Arabidopsis thaliana: one gene and its partner. The protein of the gene in region 2 interacts with the protein of the main gene of each other region in a biochemical or structural test. Each region holds a gene or a part of one and is shown on either strand. Other genes may lie near its edges.

The links.
Region 1: the proteins of ARR4 (region 2) and AT2G45820 form a complex in vitro, tested with the Arabidopsis thaliana proteins (one study listed by BioGRID).

What each region holds. Positions count from the first base shown.
Region 1 is NC_003071.7:18,862,360-18,866,637, forward strand, and holds AT2G45820 (Remorin family protein), read right to left. Parts: upstream 2,383-4,278; 5' UTR 2,218-2,382; coding exon 2,064-2,217; intron 1,374-2,063; coding exon 1,320-1,373; intron 1,225-1,319; coding exon 1,137-1,224; intron 1,065-1,136; coding exon 788-1,064; 3' UTR 594-787; downstream 1-593. Other genes in the region: DTA2 (downstream target of AGL15 2), read left to right, coding at 3,965-4,144, 4,248-4,278. UniProt on the Arabidopsis thaliana protein: Exhibits a non sequence-specific DNA-binding activity.
Region 2 is NC_003070.9:3,441,274-3,446,208, forward strand, and holds ARR4 (response regulator 4), read right to left. Parts: upstream 3,088-4,935; 5' UTR 2,487-3,087; coding exon 2,309-2,486; intron 2,221-2,308; coding exon 2,144-2,220; intron 2,057-2,143; coding exon 1,979-2,056; coding exon of another isoform or gene 1,897-1,978; coding exon 1,826-1,896; intron 1,727-1,825; coding exon 1,351-1,726; 3' UTR 715-1,350; downstream 1-714.

The DNA of each region.
Region 1 (4,278 bases), on a different chromosome or scaffold from region 2:
GGACTAACCGGTGAGACAAATCCCTCTCTAGGCATCTTGACATTAGAACTAACCTGCATTGCTCATAGACCAAATTTCCATTGATTTTGGTTTGCGGTTATTTAGGTGTAGTGAGGAGGCAAATCATTCAGCTTTGGCAGCCACTAGCTCGTTCTAGAGATGAAGGCAACACATAGAGTACTGTACTGAGGCAAGAAGAGACAGTATAGGTGGTTGATGGCGATGGAAGCGGTTGATTGTGTCTAAACCTTTAAAGCAGTACCGGCTTGATTTGGTTTGAATTGAAGACTTCTTCTGCTGCATGATATGAACCTTAAAGTTGTCTTCTCTCATCTCTAATTTTCATGTTCTTAGAAACCTTTTCACCTTTTCATTTTGATGTTCTCTCATCTTGAAGACTTGAGAGGAATTTCCGAGTAGTGAGATCAAACCGAAGAAGACATTTTAACTTCATTCGCTTGTTTATTGCTTTTAGATCTCCACCTGTGCCTGAACTGTTTAAGGATTATAGTTGGTGTGTGTCAAGTCAAGTGTCTTAGCATTTTAAGAGTTACAGATCAGATGTGAAGTCGTACAACTGAAACAAAAGGCAAAACAAGATTTGATGCTTCATACAATTATACTCCATTAATCTTTCACTTTTACACACAATCACCCAATATGTAAACAAGACACAAACGACCAAACAAATAACAAAAACTAAAAAGAGTTGTTGAATCACACAAAAACAAAAGAAGAAGAAAGAAACAGAGATGAATTGTTACAAAGATACAAATTCAATAAAGGCTTAGAAACATCCACACGTTGCCTTTGGTACTACACCAGTGGCTCTATACTTAGCACCCATTTCTTCAGCTTTGAGAAGCTCTTCTCCTTTTTTAGCTTCAACCATTGCTCTCTTCTCTTCTGCTAACTTGTGGATTGCAGCTACTTTGTTCTTCATTTTCTCACCGTACTGCGCTTTTTTCTTCTCTAATTTTTCCTCGATCTTCCTAAGTTGAGCTTCTACGGCTGCTTTCTTGCTATTTTCCCAAGCATGCACATCAGAGATCTTCTTTTGTGCCCTGTCCATTTCAAGATCATCAGAGATCTGTAAGCAATAGTAATCTTTGGGTGAGAAGATGATGAAAGTTTACCTGTTCTCAGCCTTTGACTTCTCACTCTCTTCCCATGCTTTGATGAATGACGTTTTCTTCTCTTTTTCCAAGTCGGCAAGTATCACATCTGACCAAACACACACAACACACATTTGAAGTAAATTACTGAACTAAGTAACTAAGAAACTGGACATGAGAAACAAAGTGTTGTTATCAGCTGACCTCTATCGGCCGAACCAGATGAAGCTTTCTTAGGTGTATGCTCCTCGATGGGTTCTGCAAGAAGCACACTTATAAGTATAACACATGGATATTTGTTGCAAGAAGCTCACTTTTAACTAAGTTAAATTTTGTTGCTCTAATTGGCTAATAAGGTCATCAAAATAGTAGTTTATAAAACGAAACTCCACACAGAAGGAATTACAGATAGTAAATAAAGATGAACAAATGAATGTTCAAGGATTATAAAAACTGCTGGAAAGTTAGTACTTAATTGTTATTTTCCAAGAGTTAAGCAACTTTAAAGGAAGGAAAAAATGTAGGAATATTAAGAAAGTAACCCACTTTCCTTAATTCATAGCTGTCCACAACTAATTTGTCATGATTCCATACACTTTTTGATAACACTAATTACAGGGAACATTGCTTTACTATTAATCATATTTTAATAATATCATCCTCGAAAAACATAATTCTCTTGAAAATGCCATGATGAAGTTGTAAATTCTAACAGCGATGGATTTCACCTAAACAAATAGAGTATAGACCAAGTCATATGCAAAAGAACTCACAAAAACCTTAGGCATCTTAAGAAAATCCATTTGTTAATTGTAAATTGAAACCTTAGTTCCAAACGTAAGAATTCTGAATTACATACTATAATAATTCATCGTAAACATGAATGAATCCTCCTAAGTAGAAGATTAACATATATAAAACACACACGTATGTAAATAGAAAGCTTACTTTCTACAACGGCAAGAGCTTTGGACTCGACGGGAGGTGGATTATGAATTTTCTCATCCGCGACTTCCACCGGAGCAGGAGTCGGTTCCTTCGCCGGAGCTAAAACAGCCGGAGATTCTACGTCAACCTTACTCGTCTTTTGCTCCTCCGCCATTGTCTCTCAGCCGAAGAAGAAGAACAGATTTTATGTTTTTTCCGTGAAAATGGATAAAATTGAGATTTTAGGACAATAATGAGTTAAAGAGTTTTTATATCCTCCGTTAGCTTATACCGGTGGAGCGTACTACGCGCGTTTAATAAGTGTGAGACTCTTGTTTTGCTTCGCCGTTGATTTTTGTACCCATGTGATCGTGCGGCTGTAAAGCTCTCATACGCATTGGATGCGTTACACGTGATTAAACACACCTCACTGCCGACAAGTAAAGTGGTTCAATGATGCCACGTCACCTCTGTAGAAAATTTGTCCTCCCCTTCTTTTTTCCTGATATTCAACAAAACTTAATTCTTCCAATTATACCGAACTAAAATTTTGTTTACCATATAAATTGGTTTAAAATTGAAAATCAGATTTTAGCTGGGATTTTTTTATTATGAGAAAAACAACAATCAAACTACAATCAAGAAAATAAATGATCTATATTATTGCTAATCTTGGCTTAACTAAAAAGTTCGTATTAAAAAACTGAATCTAAATTTGGAGTGAGCTCGTATGCCTATAGAATTGACAGAGTGTCGGGTGTGTATTAAATCTATAATAAAATATCAATCACTCGAATTCATTTAAACAATTATTTTAGTTTTAAAATTTAAGTGGATCAAAGGGTGACGTGGAGCCTCACTGACTCGACACGCTGGAAGACAGATACAAAAAGGATAATGTCTGTGTCTCGCGCGTGTACAAAACTTTCCGGTTATGTGGCGCGTGGTATATGCAATTTAAACTGGTTTAAGCATGTGGTATATGGACTATGAGATGGAGACATCTCTTTTTGTAGGTGTTGGGCTTTTGTGAATCCTAATGGCCCAACGGGTTTTTAAATTTCCTGCCCAACTTGTTTTAATTTAAAGAAAGGTGTAATTTTTTTTCTAACAAAGCAATAAAGTAAATTAATTAAGGCTAATCACTAATCACAGACTCACAGTTTCGAACAGCCTGTGAAAGATGTATTAATGTATTTGTATAATAATAAAAAGTACTCTACAACATGGAATTATTTACGATTAATTATCTGTCTTGTATGATGATGAGTGGTCGAATATGGACTATGATGTCACTGACCTTTATTTAATGGGTTAAGGTTTATCTTCTTTCTTCTTTCTTCGAAGTTCGGATTCTTTTATTCAGTTTAAAGCACTTATAACAAACTTTCCCAAAGAGGACTTTAATTAATTGAACTCTTGCAGTTTTATTTTTGTAGTAAGCAGATTATTTTTCTAAGAACATCAAAGGTCTTGTATTTAGTTATTTACCAATAAATACAACGTTAATAAGAGACGATTATTTGGGAAACATTTGTGTATCACATATCAATGTCCATATGTGATTTGAGCATAGGAATACCAAATATGGATGACCAAATGTCTCCTACTAATTAATAAAATATTATCTATTTAATATTTAAAAACATTTTAACTCTTCGAAAAACTAAAAAGTAAACAAGATTCACACAAAAATATGAACGTCATTAACACAAAAGATGTGAACTCTGGTTAGTGTTGAAGATAACGTGAAACAAGATTCAAATCCTCGTGGAAGAGCACCAATCGATCACCAGAATCAAACCTTTGAGCTTCCTCCTAGCTTCGGTAACGTTTAATCTCACCTGATTCTCGTTTTTCTTCTCTTCCTGTTGAATGTTTGTGAACATAGATATATATAAAGCTGAGATAGATATAGATTCATGCTTCAACGGAAAAGCATGAAGAGGAACAACAACAATCTTCTAACGAACAAGAATAAGTATGTCTATCTTAAAACGGCGTCGCATCCAGCAAAAAGCATCGCTAAAGCTACTCTGTTCCTCGTCACCTCTCTCTTCATATCTGCTGGTCTCTTAGACTTATTGGGTTGTTTCGATTTCGTGAGTTCGAATCTGAAGTAACTTCTTTTTTAGAAACTTTTTATTCAATCAAGTGAATCTTGAACTTGAAGAGTTAATAAATTCATATCTCTCTGTACTTCAGACAACTTTTACAGGTCTGAAGCAGGTAACAA
Region 2 (4,935 bases):
AAATAAAGTGAGATATAATATGTTTTATTAGATAATCGAAAGAACATCTGATTTGTTCATCAGAAAATGAATGCGAATAGCAATTGGGTCATGTCCTTAGATTGTTGCAGCGGTCTTCTCGATGATAAATAAGTTTACGACCAACCGCCTATAACAACCTCTAGTACCAATCAAACATAGATCCGAAACACACACGTTAAGCAACATATATACAAAAGTTAAAGCTATCCCAAGCTTAATTATATTGGTCGTGGTTTCTAATGTGAAGATCTTACTTGGATCCAAATGGTAAAAACACATGACCATAAAAAAAGAAACACCAAAATGGGTGCCAGAGACAAGGGATCTATAGAGACTATTTATGGAGAAATATGCCCCAAAGGAAGGGAACAAGAGTTGCCCATTTCCAGCTTTGCATTTATTCTTTCTTCCTCTTCCTTCTTTCTTCTTTTTATTTTCTTGCTTACTCTCTACACATCTACACATGCATAATGATGCATCCACTACTTCGTCGTATATTATAAGCATTTTTTTCTTGGGTTAAATATGTATATTCAAAGTTGCATTAGAGCATCGGCTTGTGCATCTCTTTTGGGAAGGATAGAATTGAACGTCATCGTTTCATCTATTCCCTTAGCTTCATTGCAAGGTTGAAAAATGGACCCAAAATTTGGTTTTAATTAACCGCCTTTTATGCATTTATATTTTTATTCTTTTTTACTATAAATTCATATGTATAAGTTTCAAATTTTATGTTTGTAACCTAAATTGTTTTCATTATCTATGAAATATTTATAATTTAGCCAAAAAAATTAGAGCATCGGCTTATAGTCATTAATAGGAGTATTTTGGGTCATAAAACTGATATATATTTATGGAACTGTTTAATGACTATAGTGGATTCAAATGTTACTAGTTGATTTGTATCTGGAAAAAAAAACCTTAGCTCTCTGATTCTTGAATTGTCAGATCTAGCTAACTTTCTGATTATAAAACCCCATATGTCTATGATATTGACTTATTTAGGACCCAATACATAAGAAAAAAACGCATATTCAAGTCTCGTTATCATAATAAATGGTGAATGTCGAAGGTTCGATTGCAATTTTCCCTTTGTTTAAAGACTAAAAAAGTTAAAAACGTAACTTTGTGCAGAAATTAAAATAATTAAAAGATATTCGAAAAGCTTTAAGGAAAAGGAAAAAAGGCCCACGTGGAGGCGCGAGAGATTAAAGGGACATCTATAAAATTTGACGGCGTCAAGTCAACGTGCAATTAAAAACACCGTCAGAGGTAAAAACGAAGTTAACGGAGATAGATAATATTACACGGCATCCCAGAATAGTTCCACTAATCTAATCCGGGACTCCTCATCTTCTGCCGTCGAATCGGCGATTCCTCCGACGACGACGTCAACACGTCATCATCTTCATCGTCTATCGGAGATGAAAGTGGCGAGGTGGAAAAGATCTCCACCGGAGATAACGGCGGAGACGAATCCGACGATTCAGTCGAAACAGTCAACGGCGGCGACGATTCAGGCGAGATAGTCAACGGAGGTGACGGTGGAGGAAGCGAAGAGTTAACGGAACTAGAATCTTCCGGAAGCTTCCGTTTGTTTCCGTTGGAAAGTTTAACGTCTTTAGTTAAATGACTTCTCAGACGTTTCACGTCGGCGAGTTTCACCGGTTTCAATAAGAAATCTTGAGCACCTTCCTCAAGGCATCTGTTCAAAAATCATTTTTTTTTTTTACAAAATTTTATCAAATCAATCAACAGTTTCTAAAAACTCCAAAATCTGTGAAGAAATCAACAAGAATCACACCTGTCGATTCTGGTCAATACATTCTCCGACGACATGATTACAACCGGAACTTCTCTGAAATTGGACGATTCCTGTTTCAGATGACCGGAAAATTCAACATTGTTACTAAAACAACCGTAATCTGAAACAGGAAAATGGCGGGAAAATGCAGACCTTAATCTTCTTGAGAAGCTCATAACCAGTCATTCCAGGCATACAGTAATCAGTGATGATCAAATCAACTTTCAATCTCTGAAAATATCCATTTAAACTAAATCAAACTCACGAATCGTAATCTTCAAAAAAAACAAAAAGCTGTATCAGATTTCAATAACTTACATCGAATTCAGCAGAAGCTTTCTCATTATCTAACCCTAGAAATTCCAGAGCACGCCATCCACTATCTACCGCCGTAACTGACAAACGATACCACCGGAGATGTAAATATTCCGGCGAGGAATAAAAAAAAGTGAAAGATGTTTTTTTTTTTGAAAAAATACGAACCTTTGCAGGAAGTAATACGAAGCAATCTCTCGATGACAATACGATCAACGAGACTGTCATCAACGGCTAAGACATGAACTTCATCTAAATCCAACGGCGCAGATTCAATTCCTCCGATACCACCGACGCTCATCATCTCCGACCTTCGTAAACAAGAAACACCACCGTCTCTGGCCATAGACGAGCTTATAGTAACTGTGAGGAGAGGATGAGAATAAAATAGAGAGAAGAAGACGAAGAAGAAGAGCTCACATCTGTTTTCTTTTGTTCCTTTCTCTTCCTTAAGACAGTTTTTTATATTTCTGATTTTTTTGTTCTCTAAAATAAATCTTTTATGAGTGTGTCTTTTTGGTTTTTTCAATTTTTATTTTGAAAAATCTCCAGCGAGGAAAATCCAACAAAATCTTTGGTTCCTATTAATGTGAAAATTATATATTTTTATGTGCCGTGCTTTTAGGGTTGAAAAAATTGAACTTTTATCTTTGAAAACAATAGTATTAATAAATAGAGATTTTATGGAAAATCCGGTGGAGGGCCTATGCGAATATCATAGAGAAAATAATATTCCTAAAATCGAATAAATAATAGAGGAGAAGAAATCCGTACAAAGGAATCCAAAAAATAAAAATATACCATCGTGAGATATATACAACTTCTTAGTCAAAATCTCGTCATTACTCATTAGTGTGATTGGAAAAAAAAAACTGAAAATGGAATCACTCACTGTTAAGAATAATAAACCAGAAGATTAAAGAAGCTAATTTTGGTCATACACCATTACAATTCATAGTAGCGTGTTTAAACTTAACCGGCTCGGTTCTTCGGATTGGTCTTATTTGTATTAAGTACTAACCACTAAGACAATTTTATATTGTTCCATGTGATTGGTCAGTTTCTAATTTAAAATTTATGGTTCAAATGCAATTCATAGAATAATATTAAGATCGGGTTTTGTGGGTTGACGAGAAAATTAGTATACGCCTAACTAGTAGTATATCCATCCATATGACTCTAGAAATTTTATGTTATCCAAACACTTTTATTTATATCGTTTTCAAATGGCAAAAAAAAAAAAAAGAAGAAGAGGAAAGTGGACAAATAATAATAAAAAAAAAGGATTTGACGTCCACATTAAAATTTGGATCCGCGGGACCCAGGGAAATCTAAAAGAGGGACCCATAAATATTTTGTTGGGAACAATTTGTATTAATGAAAGGGGGAATTGGACTTTACCTCTCTTCTTCTTTTTTTTCTTTAATCTTCCAAACATAATTTGCTGTTTCACTCTTTTAGACACCACACCGTATCAAATCTTGGAGATCGCTTTTGCTTTCTCTTTCCCACCCATTTATTATATTTTTTTATATAAAATATCATTATTATTTCTTTTTGTTGAAAGGGTAAATGTTTTGATTTTCTATTTTATTTTTAAAAATTTTATGAAAATGTTATGACAATATAGGTGTTTTTAAAAATCTCTTGATAATAAAGAGCTACTATTAAGAAAAAATAGGTATATAAACATGAGAACAATAAATATATATAATGATTCTTTGGCTCTTTATTTTTTCTAGAGAAACAAATTTATTCCAGATTGAATGTAAACTAAAGACGACCAAATCCAATACTATGACATTTTCCTACTTAAAGTTAAAGCTCAAAAGATCAGGTTTCAAGGTTGCTTAGAAGTTATCGATCACAGTCGTGGATGATCAAAGTAGAGTTTTATCAAAAGACTTTTGTTTCTTCTAATTGATAGTGTCTCTAATTTAATCGTTTTTCTACATTAACCAAAAACATCTAACAAAGTAGAAAGAAAAATGACGCGTGAAATAGACAAATCTTACAATGGATATATTGCCCATTTTTATAAAATAATTACGCGAAATTTAAGATTGATTTGAGAATTGATTTTTCAAACGATATGGGCCAACGAATGATGGATCAAATCTTCATGATGTCAACTCAAAATCGAGGGTTGAACAAAAAAATCCATAAAAGTAGTCATCAACGTGTCGCACATAAAATCGTAATCTATCTTTTTTCTAGGAACTTTGGACATCAATTACAAAATTAAAGACATTGACATTTTCCCTTTAATTAATTTTATGTTGGTACTCGATTGAGGTTTGGAGCATCTTTATATTCTAATCATTATTGTAAATATTTTCTACATAGTATAATATATTTGTAGAAATAAAAGTAATTGATTAGTTGACCTAATTATACAATACTCAAAATCATGTACACTTGAATATTTTCATTTTGACGTCTAGATTTTGTTACAGGATCAATGGATCATATAGAAACTCAATTTTAGTCTATACGTACATGGAAATATAGTTGAATCTCAAATCCGAAAATCCAGATTAATGTCAACATAAGCTCATATCTAATCTACAAAGCATTTGTTGGATAACATAGATTGGTCTTTCTCCTTCCTTGGTATCACTCTTATGTTGTCTGAGTTATATCTCCTATCCTATTGATTCTTAGACTTTTTTGTGAGCTAGTAATTATTCTCTTCCAAATTGTGCTCTCTAGCTTTATGTATCAAAAATTTCACCATCAATATGAGGCCATGTTGATCTCGATGAAAACGAAGTTACTCGTTTGTCTTAATTTAA